3 linked regions of the Diceros bicornis minor genome follow. The main gene of each other region encodes a partner of the protein of the gene in region 3 in a complex. Links are inferred from orthologs where the notes say so. Each region holds a gene or a part of one and is shown on either strand. Other genes may lie near its edges.

What was found. The genes of interacting proteins can lie anywhere in the genome.
Region 1: PLRG1 (region 3) and CTNNBL1 share a complex: the UniProt entries of both Homo sapiens proteins name them as parts of the PRP19-CDC5L splicing complex. The link is inferred for Diceros bicornis minor from reciprocal best matches to the Homo sapiens genes PLRG1 and CTNNBL1.
Region 2: PLRG1 (region 3) and DHX16 share a complex: the UniProt entries of both Homo sapiens proteins name them as parts of the minor spliceosome. The link is inferred for Diceros bicornis minor from reciprocal best matches to the Homo sapiens genes PLRG1 and DHX16.

What each region holds. Positions count from the first base shown.
Region 1 is NC_080758.1:22,436,774-22,444,939, forward strand, and holds the start of CTNNBL1 (beta-catenin-like protein 1), read right to left. Parts: upstream 3,339-8,166; 5' UTR 3,257-3,338; coding exon 3,227-3,256; intron 1-3,226. UniProt on the Homo sapiens protein: Component of the PRP19-CDC5L complex that forms an integral part of the spliceosome and is required for activating pre-mRNA splicing.
Region 2 is NC_080753.1:34,433,769-34,441,331, forward strand, and holds the start of DHX16 (pre-mRNA-splicing factor ATP-dependent RNA helicase DHX16), read left to right. Parts: upstream 1-4,225; 5' UTR 4,226-4,401; coding exon 4,402-4,608; intron 4,609-5,809; coding exon 5,810-6,057; intron 6,058-6,148; coding exon 6,149-6,311; intron 6,312-6,627; coding exon 6,628-6,684; intron 6,685-7,563. Other genes in the region: PPP1R18 (phostensin), read left to right, coding at 634-653. UniProt on the Homo sapiens protein: Required for pre-mRNA splicing as a component of the spliceosome. Contributes to pre-mRNA splicing after spliceosome formation and prior to the first transesterification reaction.
Region 3 is NC_080750.1:42,617,996-42,626,027, reverse strand, and holds the start of PLRG1 (pleiotropic regulator 1), read left to right. Parts: upstream 1-4,851; 5' UTR 4,852-4,942; coding exon 4,943-4,951; intron 4,952-6,331; coding exon 6,332-6,438; intron 6,439-6,724; exon of another isoform or gene 6,725-6,796; intron 6,797-7,473; coding exon 7,474-7,616; intron 7,617-8,032. UniProt on the Homo sapiens protein: Involved in pre-mRNA splicing as component of the spliceosome. Component of the PRP19-CDC5L complex that forms an integral part of the spliceosome and is required for activating pre-mRNA splicing.

The DNA.
Region 1 (8,166 bases), on a different chromosome or scaffold from region 3:
ATGCATTCTTCTATATGTGTACAACACTTCAATTTTTAAAAGTTTTTAAAAATCTGAGAACAAAACGGAAAACCAGATTTGAGTATTCAGTTGGTTGCAGTTCTGGCTCTGCCCCTTACTGGCTGTTTGACCTTGGGCAGGTAATTGACCTCTAACTGGAGTTTCTGTTTCTACAAAATAGGCATGCTACCAACCTCAAAGGGCATGTTGAGAATTAAATCAAGAACTTATCTGAAAGCACTTTAGCTCAGCATCCGGCACAGAGTAGGTAGGCAGTACAGCACAGTGGTTAGGAGCTCCAGTTATAAGGTAGGTACTTTCTCGTACCTCAGTTCCCTCATGTTTATAATTGAGATTAAAAACAGTACCTTTCCTCATAGGGTTGTTATAAGGATTTAGAGAGATGATGCAGGTAGGTAATGCATCTTTCACATCTATAAAATGTTACTGTTTTCAAAGAGCTTTTGCATCCATTAACTCAGATGATCCTCATAACTTTCCACAGGAGGATGGGTGCAGTTGACTGATTATGGACTAGATTCCAGACTGTACCATCTTTTAGGAACAGGAAGAGTGGACATGGATCTTACAGAAAGGAAACTGCATGAACAGTGCATGTGGGAAATGAACAGGGCAGAAATAAGAAGATCAGGATTCTGGTTTCAACTCTGCCACTCCCTTGGCCCACAACCTCAGGGAAGTCCCTCTCCCAGAATGGAGTTCACTTTTCATCTGTAAACGAGCTTATCTATAACATCTCTCAAAATAAAATTCAAACTCCTTATCATGGCCCACAGGAAGGCCTACATAGCCTGTCATCTGCCTACATCTCCAACTTCATCACCTACCACTCCCCCACCCACTCACCATGTTCCAGCTACATCAGTCCTCCTTCTGATCCTCTAACAGGCTGCCCCAGCCTCTACCTCACAGCCTATGTATTTGCTATTCTGTCTGCCCAGATCATTCTGCCCTTTTCACATGACTGGCTCCTTTCAACCTTCAATCCTTTAATGTCCATTCCTCAGAGTCCTTCCCAGACCATACTAGTTAAAGTAATAGGTCCTGCCTCGCATTCCCAGGGGTTATTTTCTTTAGCAGTGCTGTCCAATGAAAATACATGGAAAGCCACAAATGAGCCACATATGTAACTTTAAATTTTCTAGTAGCCACATTAAAAAAGTTTTTAAGAAAGTGACATTAACTTTAATAATCTATTTACTTTAAGCCAATATATCCTAGTATTATCATTTCGGCATGGAATCAATATAAAAATTATTAATATTTTTTACATTCATTTTTTTCATACTAAATCTTGGAAATCCAGTGTGTATTTTGCACATATAGCAGGTATTTTGCACATACAGCAGATATCAATTTGAACTAGCCACATTTCAGGTGTTCAATAGTCACCTGTGCCCAGTGGCTACCACACCAAACAGCACAGCATAGTATATTCTGCATACCCTTCAAAGTGCTTATCACAATCTGAATTTCTGGTTTGTTTACTGACTTATTATCTTGTAACTTCCCCACCAGACTATAAGCTCCACAAAAGCAAGAACTCTGTCTGTTTTGCTCAATGTTGTATATTCAGTAGATACAGTGCCTTGCACAGTAGGTGTTCAATAAATATTTGTTGAGCAAATGAATGAACCTCTTCTAGCTTTAATATTCTACGAGTCAACGTGCTAGTCATTCTACAACTCCCAAACAGGTATACAACCACTCATTCAACAACCCCCTATTTTCTTCTTTCACCTTCAATTATTGTCTTAAAAAGAGACATCTCTTGGCTATATATCTCCCATTGCTTACAAGTTCATTCCCATGATGTCTAGAGTTTCTAAGGTCAGTTCTTTGTATATTGGCTGAGGAAGTGGCATGAATATAACTGGCAACATTTATTGAACGTTTACTCTTTGACAAGCATCGGCCTAAGCACTTTACAGTTCACGACAGCTGTTAACAACAGACTTATGTGGTAGGTACCATCATTGCCCACATTTACAGATGAGGAAACCAAGGCACAGAGAGGTTAAGTGTTTTGTTCAAGGTCACAGAAGCCAGTCAGCAGCAAAATAGAGATTCTGAGCAACATGGGGCTCCAGACTCATGGCTCTTCATTACCTACTCTCTACTGCAGAGCTGTCCAACAGAAATATAAGGCCAGCAGTAGCCACAGCAAAAGGCTAGCTTAAAAAGTCACAGAAACAGGTAAAATTTATTTTAAATGTATTTTACTTAACCCATTACCCATACTAAGATTATCTAATCAATATGATCAATAATCATGGTACCTGATATGATCAATATGATCATGTAACCAACAAGAAAGTTTTACTTTTTTCACACTGAGTCTTCAAAATCCAGTGTGATTCTACATTTAGAGTACTTCTCAATTCAGACTAGTCCCATTTCAAGTGTTGAATAGCCATATATGGCTACTGGGTACCATATTGGACAACACAGCTCTACTGCCTCTCACAAGGAGCCTCCTTAGGAAGTCAAAAGAGTGGGGGAACTTTGAGCTGGAAGCCAGGAGACCTCAGCTCTAATCTCAGCTCTTACTTGTTGAGTAACTTTGGACAAGTCCTTTCTGCCCTGTGGGCTACTGTTTCCCTACAAGTATCCTGAGCAAGAGGGACAAAGATTCCTAGAGACCTATCCCATGTTAGAATTCCAAACATCTCCCAACAACTGCAGTTAACAGGGGTACAGCTTTCTACACTTTAAAATCGGCTATCACATCCATTAGTTGATATAGTCCTCAAACAACTCCACTAGGTAGTTATTACTGCCTCCGTTTTATATATAAAGAAACTCAGGCTCAAAGAGGGTGAAATGACTTGTCCCAAAGCCACATGGCCAGTCAGGGGAGAAGCTGGGGGTCCAGGGCTCTCCCACCACCACCACAAACTCAACGACTAGGGGTAAGAGGGCTAAAGAGGGATGGTTGCGAAGATAGTCTGGGGCCTTCAGAAAGCTGAAGGGAACCAGGCCCCAGGGTGGGGTGAGAAGGGGCCCACACTGCAGCTGAAAAGAAGGGGCTCGCACCTTGAGAAGGAACGAACTGAAAGGACCCAAGCGAGTCTCAAGGGAGGGAAGTGAAATGAGAGGCTCGGACCCCGGTGCCACGAGAAAAGAGAGGGCCCGGGACGGAGGGGAGAGGAGGTGAGATGCCCGGGTGAGCGGACGGTCCTCTGGCCCTCCTCGTCCCTCATACCTGGTAGCTCAGAAGTTCACCCACGTCCATGGTTCCCGGCCTAGCCAACACCTGCTACTCCGCTTCCCTCTACTCACGCCCAAACAGGGGACCCCTCACCAGCGGCTCCAGCCACACTGCCGTAAAGCGCCGTGAGCCGAGCCGCAGAGCCAATGAGGTAAAAGTGCGCGCGACGCGCGAGTCGGCCACACTGCGGTAAAAGGCAGCGCCACCGTAAAGCGCGCCGCATTTGCGACAGTACCGCTTCCGCCCTGAGCCTGAAGGGGGCGGGGAAAGGGGCGGAGACTTGAAGGAGGGCGGTGCGGTGAAAGAAAAGACCCAAAGGACCCAAGCTTTATTGGCGCGAGCGCGGGGTGGAGTGCTGGGTGTTTCACGTGTGCCCTCACAGTCCTTCCAGTGACCTAGGCAACTTTATCCTCGTTTCACAGATAAGGAAACTGAGGCATAGAACTGCACTGTCCAGTACTATAGCCGCTATACCCATGTGGCTACTGAGGGTCTGAAAGATGGCTAGGTCATGTTTGAAACGTGCCATAAGTGTAACTAAAATACACACCCGGTTTCTAAAACTTCTAATGATTACATGTTGAAATGATATTTTGGATATATTGGGTCAAAAAATATATAAAATTAATTTCACCCGTTTCTTTTTACTTCTTAAATGTGGTTAGTAGAAAATGTAAATTACATATGTGGCTGTCTTCACGGCTCCTGTTAAATTTCTATTGGACAGGTCTGGCTCAGAAAGTGTATTGTCCAAGTCCGTGCAACTGTTACTGTCTGAGAAACTGTTGGTGATCACATTTCCCTCTCTGGCTTCTGTTTATTCATGTATGCAAGGCGGGGTGGGAACTGGATGATCTTGTTTCTACCCAAGTGATATAAAAAAGTTTTCTGTAGGAGAGAGTTGCCCATCACTGGAAGAGAATCATTCAGAGTGCATCTGAACTCCTGGGATTTAAATAAGACTCCATCTTAAAAGGGTGTTAAGCCTCTTCCTTAGTCGCCTGAGCCTTTAGCCTCCTGCCCTTCACGTTCATAATATTTGTCTTAGTCCATTCAGGCTCCTATGGCAAAAATACCATACACTGGGTGGCTTATAAACAACAGAAATTTATTTCTCACAGTTCTGGAAGCTGGGAAGTCCAAAATCAAGGCGCTGGCAGATTTGTTGTCTGGTGAGGGTCTGGTCTGTGGTTCATAGATGGTACCTTCTCACTGTGTCCTCATGTGGTGTCCGGGGTGAGGGAGCTCTCCTGCCTCTTTTAAAAAGATGCTAATCCAACCAGCCCTGATGGCCTAGCATTTAGAGTTGTTGCGCCCTGCTTCTGTGGCCCGGGTTCGGTTCCCAAGCACTGAATCTCACCACTCGTCTGTCAGTGGCCATGCTGTGGCAGCTCACATGGAAGATCTAGAAGGACTTACAACTAGAATATACAACTATGTGCTGAGGCCTTGGGGAGGAAAGAAAAGAAAAAAAAAAAAAAGAGAAAGATTGACAACAGATGTTAGCTCAGGGCAATCTTTCCCAGCAAAAAAAAAAAAAAAGGCACTAATCCCATTCATAAGGGCTCTGCCCTTATAACCCAATCATCTCTCAAAAGCTCCACTTCATTTAAACACATGAATTTGGGGGGACACAAACATTCAGACCATAGCAGTATTTATAATCACCTTCTCCATCTCCACAGTCTCCAAATATACAGAAATTATTTTTGTTCCTCAAAGTGCCAAATCCTCTCTTCTTCTGCCTGGCCACTAGCCCCACACCTCATCCAACTCTTTCTCATCCTTCGGGTTTCAAATGTCACTTTCTTAGAGTAGCCTTCCTCAACTATCCCTCAGTTCAGGTAAGCAGCCCCTTCTCATTATTCTCTTTCCTAGCACTTCCTTTACTGCACATATATCTCCATCTGTCATTTTGTTCTTAATGGTTAATTACTTGTTTATTGACAGCCTCATTTACTGCAGGCAGGCTCCATGAGAGGAGGGATTGTGGAGGTCACGTTCATCATTATATCCCAGTACAAAAGCCTTGTACAGTGCCTGGCACAGGGGGAGGTTTCACAATGGGCCTTGTGGGTCATGATAAGGAGACTAAATTTCATGGTAGGAGCATCAGGAAGATATTGAAAGGTTTTAAGCAGGGGCGTTTAGTGATTGGATTTATGTTTTTTAAGGATCACCTACACAATCTGCTTTGAACTGAGTTTTTCAGGTGTCTTTTCTCTTCCTACTTAGCTGTGAGTGTAGACTGTGCCCTGTTCAGGGAGGCTGAACAGAGTAATGGTGAGAGTGTACCCTTTGGAACCATGTACCCTTTAGAACTTTGTTCTAGTAAGGGGTATGCTGGAGCTTGCAAGTGCCTATGGTTAAATTTTCAGGAAATTTGCAAGCAGATTGACATCAGGTTGGTTGCTTGAAGTTGGCCATGGTGGAAGTATTTACATTATGGAAATCAACAAGTGCTACAAATCGGGGTTGGTAAACGTTTACCAGTACACCATTGATTCTGGTTCTAGTCAAAGTCTCACCACATCTACCTGTGAGCAAGTTACTTTCTCTTTCTAAGCTGCAGTTTCCTTATCTGTAAGGTGGTTCATTCATGCATTCAACAGTATTTATTGAGTGCCTACTCAATGCCAGACACAACCCTGGGCTCTGAGGATACAGAGGTTTATTTAAAAAGAAAGTTCCTGCCCTCTTGGAACCTACACTCTAGTTGGAGAGAAACCCTCATGAGGGAGACATTGTTATGATCCTCATTTTACAGATGTGGAAACTGAGGCAAGCGACATCACCTCTGTGTGCCTGATTGCCTTGCCTGCAAAGTGGAGATTCAATGGAATTTACCTTATAAGACTTTGGGAAGTTTACGTGAGATGCTGTATACAAAGCCCTTAGCAGGGTACCCAGCACAGAAAAGTGCTCCATCAATATTTGATGTTAATACTATGAGGAGTTGTGTGAGGATGATGGGGTGGGGGAGGCAGGAGGGACAAGGTCATTCCTTATACCCCTTCCTTTCAAGAGTATTGAAGGCATTCAATCTTCTCTGTGTATTTTTAGAGACCAGACCTTAAAACATAGAATCATAAGGCAAAACCCTATGCGAACCAGGTTTGGTGACACCCTGGAATGGGGATAACGTGCTGGAGGTGCCATTTGGACTAGGGTTTAAGGGATGAGAAGAGTTTCCCAAGAAGACATGGTGGGAGTCTGGTGACCCAGGCAGAGGGAACAACACGCCCAAAGACATGGAAGTTGGACTATCTCTTATAGACAGGGCATAAGGTGTGTGCAGGGAATGGTGGGAAGTAGGGCAGGAGAGGGGGGCCAGGGAACATCATGGATAGGGTTGCCAGATTTAGCAAATAAAAATACAAGATACCCAGTTAAATCTGAATTTCAGATAAACTTCAAATTTTTTTTACTATCTGCTCCATGCAATATTTAGTAACATATTAAAAACTTTGTGTTGTTTATCTGAAATTCAAATTTAACTAGGCATCCTGTATTTTATCTGGCAATCCTGATCATAGAGGATCTTGAATATCATATTAAGATATTTCAACTTTATCTTGTTGAGAGGGCCCATTAATAATTCCTTGGGAACCTCCCTAGAGAGAAGTCTTGGAGCACTCACCCTTCAGGTCTCAGCTTAATGTCACCACATCAGAGGAGCCTTCCCTGACTGTGAGATCTAAGACAGTCCCTCCCCTCTGCTCAAGATTCTCTACCAGTGTTCCTGACTATTATCTTCAGAACACATGTGATTTGTGTTTCTATATTGATTTGCTTTTTACTCTTTTGGAGTCTGTTTTCCCTTTGTATTCTAAGCTCCAGAAGGCCAGAGATTGCTGTATTGTTCATCACAATAACCTCAGAACCTAACACAGTGCCTAGACCTTAATTGGCACTAACCGAATAGTTGGTGATTTAATAAATGAGCCAATCAATCTACTGATTGATTCATTCACTCCTGGCCATAATACTATCAAATATCTTCAAAGCCCTACCACAAATCCTGACAATATGCTATTCCAATTTTAAAGATGAGGAAATGGAAGCTCAGAAGAGCTTGTGCAATGCACCAAGCAGTCCAAAAACCTGCGACAACGATGATTTCAGAGTGGCATCCACAAGGGAGATGGGAGAAGGGCACCACCCAAGAGATCAGCTGCTGGGCTGTAACCTTTGTAAAGAATGTAATGTGGAAGAATTATCCCTTCCAGGAAATTTTTAAATAGCTGTGGGCTGCCTAGCTTCCTTAAACTTCAAGCTTTAGGTGCTCCAAGATGTAATCAGAGTCACTTCCTGCATCTTTCATTGCCCCAGTAAATTATTTATTGGAACAGCCTTTAAGAATATATCCTCAAAAAAACACTCATAAAGTATATTTATCACCAATATTGAGCTCCTACACTGCAATCGTGGGCTGATTAGAAACATATGACAGCACCGAAGAACTCCTGACTCCTCCATTTAGGCACTGAAGAGTTACAGAGTGGGCAGTGGAAAGAGAGATATGTTTTTCTGAGAAGAAGAATGCGCCCGGGGTTCAGGAGGAGTCCCTCCCTGCTCCCTCTGCCTCTCATTCCCAAAATTCAGGTCCTTGGATCCTCTCTAATCTAATATTTTTATATAATTGTGAAAACTGAAATGTAGAGAGTTTGGTTACTTGCCCACAGTCCTAGAATTAGTAACTGGCAATACTCCAATCCAAGCCTGTCTGACTATGCATTTCACAGTAGGGATCTGGGCTCCGTTAACGTTTCAAACAATGCTGACACTTATGATCCAGGCACAGGTGATTACTGAATGCTAAAGAATAATTATCTCTCCTAGCAGGCACTGGTCTCGATTAGACAAAAGGAGAATTTATGGTCTTAGATACACTGTGAGCCAAGCAAGAACTCAGTAGTCATGGATATGCAAAG
Region 2 (7,563 bases), on a different chromosome or scaffold from region 3:
CTTGTTTCTTACTTGTGGTGTGACTTCAGGGAAATTACGTGACCTCAGGCCTCAGTTTATCCTTTATGAAATAGGGTTAATAATAACTACCTCCTAGAGTTGTTGAGAGGGTTAAGTAATGTTTGTGAAGCACCTAGGAACTATGGCTGGACATCAAGTTACTTAACCTCGCCTGAGGTGAGATTAAACGAGTTATAAGAATGCCTGGGGCCAGCCCGTGGTGTAGCGGTTAAGTGCGTGCGCTCCGCTGCTGGCGGCCCAGTTTCGGATCCCTGGCTTAAACCGATAGACCGCTTGTCAGGCCGTGCTGTGGCAGCGTCCCATATAAAGTGGAGGAAGATAGGCACAGATGTTAGCCCAGGGCCAGTCTTCCGCAGCAAAAAAAGAGGAGGATTGGCATGGATGTTAGCTCAGGGCTAGTCTTCCTCACCAAAAAAAAAAAAAAAAGCCTGGCACAGAATTCGAGCTAAATGAATGATGGCTGCTGTTGCTGGTAGTAACAAGCACTCAAGATGTGGAAGATGTTATAAGATTTCCCATATGCCAACTGGCCTTCAGTGTGAGGAGAGGGTGGGGAAGGTGGGGAGCAGAGGCCTCACTCATTCTCTGTCATTATTGCCTCCTCTCCCACAGATGAGTCCTGCCGGAGGTGACCGTCTTCCAACACAGAGATATACCTCGCTCCTTCCCAGAACTGAAGATCCTGGAGCCCAGAAGATTCAGAGCAGACAGACCCTGAAAATGAGCCTGGCAGGGAAGGGCAACCAACATCTTCCACTTCGCTTTCCTCATCCTGTTTCTGGGGGCAGAGCCAATCGCCCAATTTCCACCCTCACCCCAGGTCCCTGGTGTGAGTGCGTCAGGCGTGTGGGTGTATCCTAGGTGATCCAAGAGTGAGCACCAATTCCCAGGGAGGAGCACAGAGCTCCCTGGGGAATGGAGATGGAGCACCCTCTCCATCTCCATGGGCAGGGTATACTCGCCCTACAACCTTCCTTGTCTCCCCACCACCCCCTGAGGTTCTCAGGATTTCAGCACTCATCTCCCTGAGACGCCTGGCCCCCACTCCATTTCCAGTCACCTCTCATCCTGTTCCTTAGGTCACTGCCCCTTTGTTTACAGCTCTTGCCTCCTCTCTTGACTGCAGCCTGGATTACAAACCCCACCAGCTCCCCGCCCCACCTGCCAAAGTCCCAGGTTTACAAGCCACGCCTACTTGCCGTGTCTATGTGGAATCCTCTCCCCTGTCCCCTGCTGTTGCCTCACTGGGAGTGACCTTGGGGTGTGGCTTCCTCCATTTTTGCTCAGTATTACTGTGCCTCAGATTTCCCCAAGAGGGAAGGCTGGGGATCTTAACTCCATTCTCCCATCTAGTTATTTAATTCTGTTTCTCCTAGTGGTTCTCAATTGAATTGAATTGCAAGGATGTGGGGTGACTAACGAGGCACCTCAACTCTCCTCCCTCATTTCTCCTTCCTTATCAATTGCCTGTGTTTTTTTTTTTTTTTTTAATTGTCCCTAATAAAATGGAGCTCTCTCTGACTTTCCCATTGCTTCTCCTTCTTTAGGAAAAAAAAGTGCATGCGGGGGAAACTCTGTGTTCCTCGTTCCAAGCCTCTCCCATCTTCCTGTTGGCCATGAGAGGGAAGTGGCGATGGGCGGTGGGAGGGGAAAATGATGAGGATGAACCAAGAACTCAGAGCTGACATGTAGAAAGGGCTCTGGGAGAGCCCTGCACTGGTTTCTCGAAGGACTAGCAGGAGAAGGACTGGTTTGAGGAAGGGCAGGTTGTAGCCACCAGACTGGAAGTGCCATGAGGGCAGACCATGTTGGTTGAGTTTACTGCAGCATCACCACGCCTGGCACCTAATAGACACACAAAATTACTTCTAGAATGAATGACTGAACAAATAAATGAAGAAAAGAGCTAAAAAACTGGAAGCAGAGGACACTCTAAATTGAAAGATACCGGGCCAGCCCGGTGGCTTAGCGGTTAAGTGCACGCGCTCCGCTGCTTGCGGCCCGGGTTCGGATCCCGGGCGTGCACCGATGCACTGCTTCTCCGGCCATGCTGAGGCCGCGTCCCACATACAGCAACTAGAAGGATGTGCAGCTATGACATACAACTATCTACTGGGGCTTTGGGGGAAAAAATAAATAAATAAAATCTTTAAAAAAAAAAATAAATTGAAAGATACCAGTATTCAGAAGCCTATAGCAATGCCAGCAGCCAGCTAGTGTGTGATAGTAGCTAATTCAGAGGCATTTACTCCAAGACCCGAGACCATAAATAATTAATCTGAAATTGCTGCAAAATATAGTATGTTTAGAAGTGCAGTTTCCTGAAAAGGGGTCTCTGATAGACAATGAGTTTTATATTCCCAAAGGTTTAAGAACTATCAATAATTCATGCCTTTGTTACCCAAGTATAGTTGATGTTGGGAGATTTTCTCATTTCAAAGAATTTCTATCTTCTACAAATGTAGAAGACCTATGTTTTATTTATCAGGTCATTTTTTTAGTTCTGCAGGCTAGTAAAGGCATGGTTGACTAGTCCTAGTCCTTCTACCACTACAGGATGCTCCTCAGCCTAGTCAGAGGGGACTCCCCTTTACCAAAAACAAAATGTGTTAGACAAATTGATCTTAAATATATGCTGAAGGTCCTTAATTTACTAGCAAGAGAACAAGCAAGCTGTCAAAAGAATGAGCCAGTTCAGGGGCCGGCCTGGTGGCGCAGCGGTTAAGTGCGCGCAGTCTGCTTTGGCGGCCCAGGGTTCACAGGTTCGGATCCCGGGCGCGCACCAACGCACCGCTTGTCAAGCTGTGACGGCTTCCCATATAAAGTAGAGGAAGATGGGCATGGATGTTAGCCCAGGGCCAATCTTCCTCTGCAAAAAAGAGGAGGACTGGTATCAGATGTTAGCTCAGGGCTGATCTTCCTCACCAAAAAAAAAAAAAAAAAAGAATGAACCAGTTCACAGAAGCAGTTCACAGAAGCTGTGGGTGTGGAGGGAAACAATGCTTATATCAGTAGCTAATTAGGTAAAGATCCTAAACAGTTGTGACCCAGGAAAGAGGAGGCAGGGAGCTCTGAGATGCCAGGGGTGCCCACAGTCCATCTGAGAAATAAAACAATGCATCCAAGAAGTCAATGAAGTCAGTGATATGGAGCTACCTGTGGCTGCTCATTGGAATAACAACGATTCATTTCCCAACAGGTGTCTGCTAAGTCCAATTAATCATAAAAAAAAGTATGAAGCAGGGTAAAAAGAAGTCAGATAGTAGAGAGTCAAGTAACAAGTTCTGCTTGTTTTTAAATAAGCAGCCACCAGTGAATTTCTCAAGCTGTTAGCGAAAATGCAGAACATACTACGGGGCCAGGCTGGTGCCACAGTGGTTAAGTTCGTGCGCTCCGCTTGGGTGGCCTGGGGTTCGCTGGTTCGGATCCTGGGCACAGACCCACTCACTGCTCATCAAGCCATGCTGAGGCGGTGTCCCACATAGAGCAACTAGAAGGATGTAAGACCATGACATACAACTATCACTGGGGCTTTGGGGAGAAAAAAGGAAAAAAAGGATGAAGACTGGAAACAGATGTTAGCTCAGGGCCAATCTTCCTCAAAAAAAGAAGCAGAACAGAGATTGCATTTTCCTGAGTCGGAGAGCTTTTAAAATGACTTTCTGACACAGCACCAAGAAAAGTGGGCACCTTTGTTTTTCCCCCAGATCCCAACTTCCTGGCCTGGAGGTCCTCGCTTATGCCTAACCTGTATTCAACCCTGCTGCAGGCACCAGTCCAAAGGTCACTCCTAATCAGCATGGGCTAATCTTTAATAAGCGGGACCTGATCTTCTGATTTGAAATGGAATCCCCCCCAACACACATACATCTTGCCTTATTTTTGGCTCCATAGAACTTACATGTTTTATTTATTATGTATCTTGCCTCCTTCCCACCCCGCGCAATGTAAACTCGGTGAGGGACTTTTGTCTGATTTGTTCTTTGCTATATCCCTAGCGACAAAAATTGCCTAGCACACCTTAGGCTCTCAGCATTAGTTGAATGAATCAGTGAAACACCCCCGAACTGACCATCAGGGGGCGACAGAGATTCGGTAGGGGCGGAGAGGACATTGTTTTCCCCCGAGCTTCAGATAACGATTCTGCGAGGTTTGAACTCGCTCGGCCACCGTAGTGCTCAGGCCGGAAAAGCGCGGCCGCTTCCGGCCTCCGCGGTCCGAGAAGACGGCTTTGAGGTGTCGGAAACCGAATCCCAAGGTCCTAAGGCGGCTCCCTTGAGGAGCTGAGGCTCCAGCCCCGGGCTCCAGGCCTCAGCCCGGCCTGGCCGCCAGGGCGGCTGCTGGAGACACTTCAGAGCAGAGAACAGAGCGTGGGTCGCCATGGCGACGCCGGCGGGGCTGGAGCGCTGGGTGCAGGACGAGCTGCACTCGGTGCTGGGACTGAGCGAGCGGCACGTGGCCCAGTTCCTGATCGGAACCGCGCAGCGCTGCGCCTCGGCCGAGGAGTTCGTGCAGCGCCTGCGGGACACTGATACCCTGGACCTCAGCGGGCCGGCCCGGGACTTCGCCCTCAAACTCTGGAACAAGGTGTCGAGAGGGGTGGGGCGCGGCTGGGGCGGGGCCGGCGTGGGAACCGCGAGAGAGGGGGTGGAGCAGGGACGGGGCCCAGGTTACTTATCCAGGTGAGGCTGGGCTAACTGCATCGGGGAATTAAGCTCAGTTTACAGGCATTCATCCGTTGTCCGTTGTCGTCTAGGTAGTGTGCTGGGTGCTGGACGTCCAGCTTAGGGGAGGAGAACGAGGAGGGCTAAGTGTGCTGGGTTAAGTGCTATAGAGCAGTGTTTCTCGAACTTTAACATGCATAGGATTTCTCCAGGGCCTTTGTTAAAATGCAGATTCCGATTTGGTAGGTCTGGGATGGGATCTTAGTTTCTGCATGTCTAACAAGTTTCCAGGTGATGACGGCCCATGGACCACCTTGGTGAATAGCGAGGCCGTAGAAGGGATGTGTGGGAGGTGCTGTGGGAGGGCAGAAGAGGTGGGGGTAGTGAGCAGGAAAAGCAGGCCCAAAGACTCCCTGGAGCTTGTCAAGTAGAGAAGGAGGAATGAGTAAAAGTATAAAAGGCGAGCTCCTGGAGGACAGGAGTGTGTATTTCTCGTCTTTGTATTCCTGCCACCTAACAGAGTACCTTTCAGAGCAGGTGCTCAGGAAGTATATAGGAAGAGTGGAAGTGTTCAGCATGTTCAGAGAATGGCAAATAGCCTGGATGGGACCTGGTTGTCCCATATGGTGCTTGTCAAGGGAGATTAGGTTAGAATGTAAGTGATATGAGAGTAGGGACTTTATGTTAATTTGTTTACCAGGGTATCCCTGGAGTCTGAGACAGTGCCAGGCCTGTGACAGCCTTCTGCAAAAGTAGCATGTCAGTCCTTGTGTAGGCATGACTTAATCATTGGGAATAGCAGAGGCTGAGCAATTGAGAATTGGGTTTGAGAATGTAAAATCCACAAGGGCAGGGATGCTTGTCTCTTTTGTTTATTCCTGTATCCCTAGTACCTAACAAGTACCTGGTGCATGGGACAGGCTTCAATAAACGTTTGTTAAATGAATGACTGAAAGGACGTTCGGAAACTGAGAGGCTCTGACGAACATGGCGTGAAGCCATGGGGAAGAGAAAGAATGAAGGCTGATTTAAGATCAAGTCAATCCTTACATTAAAAACAGGGTAAAGTAGGTGGTCAGAGATCAGGAGTTGCTCACATCCCTCATCTCCTCCTCTCCTGACAGGTGCCACGGAAGGCAGTCGTAGAAAAGCCAGCTCGGGCAGCAGAGCGAGAGGCCCGAGCCCTGCTGGAGAAGAACCGATCTTATAAGTTGCTGGAAGAGAGTGAGGAGAGCAGTGAGGAGACCATGGGCAGGGCTGGGAGCAGTCCCCAGAAGAAGCGTAAAAAACGGAAACACCTCAGGAAGAAACGTCAGGAGGAAGAGGAAGACGAAGAGGAGGAATTTTCTGAGAAAGGAAAGAGAAAGACAGGGTAAGTCAGAAATAGGATGAGAGATGGGGCAGGTGGATGATGGGATATGCCTTCTGGATGCCCTTATTTAATCCTCTGGGCTGGGCTGCAGGGAGAGTACACAGCAAATGGAGAAGCCAGAGTCGGAGGATGAGTGGGAGCGGACAGAGCGAGAACGCCTTCAGGACTTGGAGGAACGGGATGCCTTCGCGGAGCGGGTTCGGCAGCGGGACAAGGATCGGACTCGTAATGTCCTGGAGCGGTCAGACAAGAAGGTCTGCATGTTCTCTAAATCCCAGGAAAATCTCTGGGTCAAAACTGAGGTTGAGTATGATTGCAGATAGTGATCTCTGGGAACACAAGGGGCTGCCTCTAGTGGTAAGTTCATCTCTATGAGGAGAAGACCCCTCTGGGTCTGCTGGCTAAGGTGAGTCTCTGCTGAACCTGTAGCCATAGAGCTTCCTCGTGGAGAAGGGACATTTCTTTGTGTTAGGGAACATCTGAATGATCCTTGTGATTCTGGAGGGGGAATGGCTGTGGGCCTGGGGGCTTTTGGCGTCACACCCCTCCACTCTTGGTTTCTTCTCCTAGGCTTATGAAGAGGCTCAGAAGCGCCTCAAGATGGCTGAGGAAGACCGGAAAGCCATGGTGAGTCCCAGTACCTAGGAAGCCAAGAGCAGAAGACAAAAGGAAAAACTTTCTGATGGAGAAGTTAGGGGTAGGGACAAAGGATACAGAAGATGCGGTGGAGATGCTGATGGGGTGTCAGGTCTCTGGAGGATGGGGCTTGGTTGACAGAAGCCTGCTGAGGATGGATTTAAGTTGTAGAGAGAAGGAGGTTACCCATAAACCCTCCTTGACTCCATAGGATTAAATCACACTGTATGTTAGTGAGGGAAATGTGAGCTTTCTCTGTTCCTGAGACTTAACAAGATGTAATCAAAAGGCAGCTGGAACGTCAAGGGGTTGGCTGGAGGGCAGGAGCAAGGCAGCTGTTCCACTGCCCAGGGATGTGCTGACCATTCAGCTTGGCACACCATCTCCAAATACCTCCCTACCACCTAATCCCTCCATCCCCTCTGTGGCCTTGTGATCTTCCTCTGGTTTCCTAAGTTGGTCTTCTCCTGGACAGGGTCAGAGCCCTGGTAATTCATGAACTGGACTTGTTATGGTGTGAGTCTTGGTAGGGTAGGCAGTTTTCCAAAGGCCTGGTATTTCCAAGTAAGGTCACACTTAGATTTCCCAAAAGAATTTTGAGATTCTTAGTGTCCTAAGAATGGCCTAGTGGCCCTCAGGTCTCTCCAGACCAATCCATCTCATGTCCCACTCCACAAAATGACTGTGCTCAGAGCCTTCTGAGGCATCTCTCAGGGCTGGTGTCATGTTTTTATTTGCCTGAATTTAATTTTTTTTTTTCAATTATGAAAACTTGCAAACAAATAGGAAAGTTGAAATAATAGTGTAATGAACACTCATACAGACTATTCACATTAAAAAATTGCCAATCCCATGTGCATCGTTTATATT
Region 3 (8,032 bases):
CCGTTTGAGAACCACTATCCAAGGGGAGATGCTGTCATTGGTTAGCCACCTGCAATGGGAAGGCATATTGCAGGGAAGAAGAGTAGGAGCTAGCTCTGTGTCTTGTGGAGTGTCTCCCTCTATTGACTTGAAAGATGTCAGTTTGCTTTTCTTAAGGGATCCAATACAGAGCCTGGCAATAAAGGAAAAATAGAACATTTTCTCCTTCAACCTAATGCTGATCACAAGAGCTAGAGAAAACACAGAGTTGCTCTTCTGCTTCTGTCACATTGAGACTCAAATCCACAAAGGGTATAATCAACACCTGTTGGAGCGCTGCTCCCTTCCCCTGGAATGACCCCTAAAATGCAGAAGTGGGGCTCCAGTGGTCCTGTTCACGTTGTGATACCCTTACCATCGAGCCATAGGTGACTGAGCTATGGGCAGACCCTGTACCAAGCCAACCCTACCGGCTTCTCTCCCCCAATTTAATGTTTGCAAAGGAAATAAGCAGAGAATCAGGTCAATTGGCTTCATGTCATATTCATGGCAGCATTCTAGAGAGAAAGTCTACCAACTCCAGCAGCAGAAATAACCAAAACTTCTAAACGTGATCATTTGATTCTTCTGTCAAACCTGTGAGACACCTGATGTCCTCCTAATAGTACCTATGTCCCTGTTATCTTTTGGTGAGTTAGGCTGAGATGCTTCTGGGGTTTGCTGAACTAATCCAAAAGAAAAATCAAGATCAAATTTTTAAGACTCAGACTGACTATTTTTTTTAAAGCATAAATTGCACATTAGAAAGAGAAGCTGTATTTTCAAACTGCAATAAATCACAAAAAGTTTTTATACAGTAAGTATATAGCATCAGCAGTAAAACTCTGTAGAAAATGAAAACTTCTATTTTATTTGGAGTATTTTAGTAACATTCATTTAAAAAATCTTTCAGTATTTAATAACTATTTCTTGAATTAAGAATATTTTCTGTAAAATGTGCTCAGGATTAGGTTAATGGCATAACATACATATTTATAATTTTGAGTCTTCTTATCCAAGAAAAAAGTATGCATTTTCATTGATTCAAACCTTTTTTTATGTCCCTTAAGTTTTTTTAACCTAGGTCTTGCATATTTTTCATTTATTGCTGTTTTAAATAAGATATTTTCCCTATTATATTTTTCAACTGCATATATGAAAGCTTGATTTTTGAATATTTTTTTTGTACTCAGATAGCTTAGTGAACCCTTTTATTATTTCCAGTAGTTTTTCTAGTTGATTTCTTGTTTGTTTTTTTTTCAGGCATACCATCATACTGTTTGCAAATAAAGATAGCTTTGCTTCATTATTGCTATTTTATACTGCTTACATCTTCTTTCATCCAACTGCACGACTAGTACTTTCAGGAAAAAATAAGTGTGGACGATAATGATGAATAGCAGGAATTCTAGTTTTGTGGCTGACTAATGAGAATGTTTTTAATGTTAATCTATAAACTTGATGCTGGCTTTTGGTGGTATATTTTTAAAAGAAAGCCTAAAAATGCCTAAATTATAATAGTAAAATATTCAAACCATCAAAATGCCTTAATCTTCTTAATTATTGACGTCAAGAAGTTTTTCTGCCAACTAAACCCATTTTTGCAAATGATATATTTTTACCAATAAATTAGTATCTGATAACTTAATGTCAGAATTAACTTTTATATAAACTAAATAAAATTTGGCACTGACATGCCTAAATACAATGAAAAATATTTCATTTTAATAAAATTTACAATGATCAGAAAGACAGACCATCCTCATACAAGCAATTCACTGCCTTACACACAGATAAGGGTTAAGTTAAATTAATGGTTGTTGAAATAGTAGCATCTTTTCAAGGGTGAGCACATACCATATATATCCAGACACACACAACATCCTTCCTACAGATTTAATACCTGCAACCCCACATCAAAATTAAGGTCTCAACACCTTCCATCCCCATATTTAAGTGTCTAAAACTTAACACCTTACTTATTCAATCATTCAACAAATATTGAAAGCCTACCAGTTGCAAGTCAACTAGATACTGAGTGTGTAATAATGAATATCACACCATACTGACCCCATATGTCTATTGGGGAATACAGATAATTAAACAAATATACTATCAAACATGGTAGCGTATGAACTCAGCCAAGAAAACTGAAAATGTCACACCGCTATTTTTCTCTGTCAGCATAAACACTGACATATTTTTGCAAAATAGAAACACAAAGACAAATTATGAGTCATGATCATGTTCAATTTTGATACTTGTTTTTGTGACATGGATGGGACTTCATAAAGTAGAGGAAGGCAAAATTGTGATAAGCAACATTTCCCTCCTCGCTCTCTCTGTGTCACACACACACACACCTTGCTAAGAAGTTTATAACTCATAGTGCAGCTTAATCATGTCCCGGGCCTTGCCAGGCATTAGCTGGAAGAATAGCTCCCTCACTGTCTCCTGTAGTTCCAGAAGCTTTCTTCTCAACTGTGTTGCGAAAAAGCACTTACCAACACTACCTCGGCATCTGGGTCCATTCTTAGCATTGTAATAAGCAATCAAAGACCAAACTTCTGGAAGAAATGCCCAAGTATTCTTTTTCACAGGTTCTGACCTCAGGAATTCAAAAAGAAATGATAACTTCCACCATTCCTCCCTTTTAAATTAGTGAGGAGTTGCAAATCTGAAATTCATGGGAAAAAGGACTCAGTGAGCCAAACAACTCTAAAGAATATGATATATAGAGTAGTGTCTAAGAAAGATTATATATTTAACCCTCTAAGCTGAGAGAAACAGTAAGAAGAAATAATAATATTCATCATTTTTATCAGCATAAAAATCAGAAAACTATTCCTATAAAAAATCTGATAAAAAGCTGATGAAAATGACTGAAATCTTCACTTATGTGACCTATCACTACTCAAGGGCAAATGATACAAGCATTTGAAAGAGAATAAAGAGATCGCCTGTATTGATGAGTAAAAGAAAGTAGCTTAACCAACGAAAGGAGGACTTCCTTAAAATTTGTACTATTGTTTTCACACAAATAGACTTAATAATATTTACATTAATAAATTAGTCACCATGCCTGCTCTGGGGACAATCCTCCTACTCTTATGAAGAGCAGCAGTGACCCCTACTGCTCAAATAAGGCAGCTCTCGGTGTCTGCCAGGACAGGGATTCTTAACCTGTTTTGGTTCCTGGATCCTTTTATGAATCCAAAGAAACCTACAGATCTCTTCACCAGAAAAAAATTCAGGTTTTTATATATATAAAAAAATTTGCAATATACGTAATTACATGAATTACAATATACGTAATTCATGGATCCCTGACATAACTAGGGTCACTAAGCTCTATCTATCCAAAACATTCAAGTAGATAATATAATTTTGTAGATTCACAAGAGCTTTTTAAAAGGAGCATAATCTAGTGCAATTTACCTCAATTATTACAATTATTTTATGAGTTTGGGCTTATAAATTTTTTTCAGGATTAACTAACAAGTTAATAGGCCCAACTAGATAGTTATTATATTGCCTTAGATATATTAGAATCTTGCTTACATTTCTATAACTTCATTGCTATTTAAAATCATGTTCTTTTGTATAGTTATTACTATCTATAGGTAAGTTACAATATGATTCAGTTTCCCAAGTATATATTTTATAATTATGGCATTTCCTTGCCAAGGCCTATCATCAGAAAATCAGTTACAGAAAATCATTTCTTAAGCCAAACTCACCCTCAAAATCAGAGATGGCTGTATTTTTCAAGTAGAAACATGACCTTAATGTTTTCAATGAATTAAAAAGTATTAAATTTCTAAATAAGATTATCAATTCACAAAGCTATACTTCTGATAAATTTCCCCCCCATAAAGTATATGCAGTATGCTCTGGGGACAAGATGAGTTGAATTGGTTATGGTTAAGGAACAAGCAGATCCAGTGAAATGTTTGTCTATTCAAGTTTGCAAACGTTCAACTCCATCAATTTTTGTTTTTACATAGAAAAATAATCGGACAGGATTGATCACAAACTGCAGAGTTTACCTGGATAGGAAACAAAGCAAAATACCAACACTTGGGCACCAGGATGTGTATGAATAAAAATGGCGGAAGTCTTCAGTTGTATCTTTCTTACACCAGAAAAGCTATACCCTGGCATTGTTGAAGCCACGTTAATCAGCAGACAACTAGGAAATAGCCAAGAGTTATGCAGTTCTGAGAGATTAGGGAAAAGAAATCTATTAGTGGAAAATAAATTTTGGATTTTGTCATATGCTGTTAAAATTCTTTTACAAAATTTCTCAAATTGAAACAACTATTCTGCAACATTCACTCAACAAGTGTTTAGTGGACAGTGTCAGTGGGATTGTTTTTAGGCATTAAGGCTACAAAGGCGTCCAAATGCGTCCAGTCAAGTTTAGCCAAATAGTGAAGTCAGGCGACATAAATAGCGGAGGCAACCCCCAAAGAGGGCAAGACAGTGGAAAAGCCTTACGGCTGATGGAGGTTTGCTCTCTCCAGACCTAGAACTGATTCCTGAGGTTCTATGAAGAAAAAGCATTAATCTCTGGGGAACACAGCACAAACTACACCCCTAAACCGAAACAATTAAGGCTGAGAGTAAGGCAAAAAAACCGTCGTCTCAAAAACTCTTCAAAGAGGAGAGTAAAACCTTCGACCCATACATTCCAGTAGCTTCCGCTTCTCAGTCCCGAAACTCCGCCCTAGAGGCGGCCCGAGAAGAAAGACCCGCCTCTCGCCGCCAGAAGGCCTGTGGGCCAATAGCGCGCGTGCACGGAGTTGCGTCACATCCGGCGCTGGGGCGCCCGATTCCGGAAGGGGCTGTGCAGTTGTGGCGGCGGTTTCTGCGTTGGTTAGTGTTTCTTTTCTGCGGGAGCAGCGAGATACACAGCAGCATCATGGTGGAGGTAAAGTGACGCTTGGGTGGTTAGGAGTAGTTTATTTCTGGACTGGTTTTCTTTGGCGGCGGGCTTTGTGGATCGAGGGTGTTGGGAGTCTGGGGAGAGTAGAGGCTGCGAGGGGAGCCTGTTTGGCCGAGGCCGGGGAGTCTCTTCTTCAGGTGGGAGAGGCTGGATGAGAGCACGAGTTGGAGGTTCCGTCCTGGCGGGAAGCCTGAGATAATTCCTCCCGTCCTCATTTGATCCTTGGGCACTGGACCTGGGCACTGTCCTCGGAGGCAGGACTTCTGTTGATGTTCCACTGCGGGTACTCGCCCCCTGCGGGGTAGTGTCAGTGATTCTGTGTCCCAAGAGACTGGCGGTCGTCTCTGATGTTCACATTGTGTCTTAGTTCAGCCCTTCCCCAGGAAAATCTGCCATTCTTAAACTTTTGCAGTTTTCCTTAGCTTGAACAACCATTCTATTAGCAGGCCTTGTCTTATCTCAGAAATATTTCTTGATTCTTGTCCATACCTGCTGCCGTCACCTTAATTCAGACCAACATCATCTTTCTCCTGGACTGGTGCAGTAGCTCCCAGCTGGTCTCCTTGCTTCCATTTTTGTACTCCCCTCCCCCCATAAATTAATCTGTTTAAAATATACGTTGGTCATGCTTTTCTTGCTTAAAACCTTTTACTGGCCTTATGTTACTAGAGCAAAATTACAGATTGTTGCAATGGTCTAAAAAAGCTTACCTGATCTGGACCTTGTCTACCCTTGTAACCTCATCTTGCATCACAACCCGCCCTCCCAGCGAACATATATAACTGCACAGCTCCCGGCATTTTTTCATTTACTGAATACCTTTGTACATCACCTTTTCTCTCTGCCTGGATTGTTTTCTATTCTGTGCTAAGCTGACTTCCTCTTTCTGCTTAAATATCACCTCAGAGAGATTTTTCATAACTATCCTAAGTTCTTCCTCTGTTCTCTGTCTCAGCCCCTTGCTTGTTTCCTTCATAGCACTTATCAAAATGTGGAGTTATTTTGCTTATTTTTATTTGTCTGTTTCCTCTTGAGCACAGGGACCATGACTGCCTTTTCATCATTCTCTTGGTAGCTTCTAACACAGTACCTGCCAGACACATAGTAGGAGCTCAGTAAATATTTATTGAGTAAATGACTAATCTCAGGCATCACTCAGTTGGTATACCTGGGGCTCTGGCCAAAGAGGAGCTTCCTCCTCTTCCCTGAACTTGACTCTTATAGTTTGCTGCAAATAGCTGTGGTGAGTGGTACGAAGTTTTTTACATATTTTAACATGTAACGTGTATAACTAATTTGACTTTAATTTAGGTTACAATGTATGTAATTTGTAGCTAGATATATAATTACACTGTTTCTTTCTAGGAGGTACAGAAACATTCTGTGCACACACTTGTGTTCAGGTCACTGAAGAGGACCCATGACATGTTTGTAGCTGATAATGGAAAGCCTGTGCCTTTGGATGAAGAGAGGTAGGTGTAGTTCCTTTTCAATTGCTAGAATATTTAAACTTCTAATATTGGGGGAAGAGAGCAGGGAGAGGGGGAACTTTAAAGATTAGTGAGTAATACTAACATAGGATATCTATTCAATAATGAGTGGTGTTTGGGCATAATTTATGCTGATTTAACTTTTTTTGGCCTTATCTTTTACAGTAAAACTCCCATTAATTAATTGCATTTTACAAATACCCAGTAATTAGGAGAGTCCCTTCTAGGTGTTATATTTTATAATCAATCACTTTGTATGTGCTTTCAGCTTCCCGCTGCTCTCAGAGCCTTGCTGAGCTGAAATTGTACCTGGCCAGTACCTCTACTCCCATCTTTTCTCGTTAGTATGGTGAAGATTTTTGAGTGGTGGCACATTTTTGGTTCTACATCTCCAGCTCCAGTCTGGGATTGCATTATGTGCAGTGTTCCTTCTTTGTCCTTTACCTTCTATTAAAATCTGCTTAGTTCCTCAAACAAGCATATATATATAATTTATAAGGTAGACTATTCTTAAAAGTAATATAATAAGTGCATTTCTTTTTAAAATATTGAAGTAAGTACTTTGATTAGTTCTAACTGACTCTTTTAGATACACATCCAGTAAACATTTCTGTGGAAGCTTTTACTATATTTTTATATTTAGACATTTGACGGAAAGTTTATTGACTTTGAGGTTTTTTTAAAGGATATATTAGTTTCTATATATTTTTAAATCAGACCCTTGATAACTCATCATGAAAGATTTTATATTTATTGGTTAACAAACTGAAATATTACTTAGACTTAATGAATGCTAAGTGGTGGATTGTGAACAAAAGTGTGGAAATGCACTTGGAAATTTTGAGCTTTTTAAAATCTCTTTAACTTTAAAATCATAATAGAAACTTTTTCTACATGATTAGGCAAACTTAAACTATTTAAGTACTTGTTTCCTGGCTATCTGTGAGTATATTTACATTGGTGAGTATGTTTAAAGTACTCAAAGATACATTCTTCATGTTTGTAATTTTTAAATAGTCACAAACGAAAAATGGCAATCAAGCTGCGTAATGAGTATGGTCCTGTGTTGCATATGCCTACTTCAAAAGAAAATTTTAAAGAAAAGGGCCCTCAGAATACATCAGATTCGTATGGTCATAAACAGTATCCTGCCAATCAAGGTGAGTATGGTGTTGTCTGAAATGTCAGGACTTACATGTGAATTTTAAAAATAGAAATGTGAAACGTCTTATTAGTGCCCCTCCTGGCAGGATTAATTAAAGCCATATTCTATTTAATAGCTGTACCAGTATTATAATGGAAGTCTAGATTTCCTCATTGAAGTAGTGAGTGAGATTATTGGTTGGTGGACTTTTTCTTATACAACATAAAAAAGTGGTAGTATAATAATAGCAGAACTTCTTAGGATATAGAGAAGCTCACAGTGGAGACTAAAGGAAAAGCTCCTAACCTGTGGGTAGAACATCTATCTATTTTGACTGTAATTCAGAAAGATGATATGAAGTACTGAAATTGTAGTGAATAAAGATAATCCAAGATTCCACAGGGAAACTATTTGCATGGAAGAAAAGCCAGA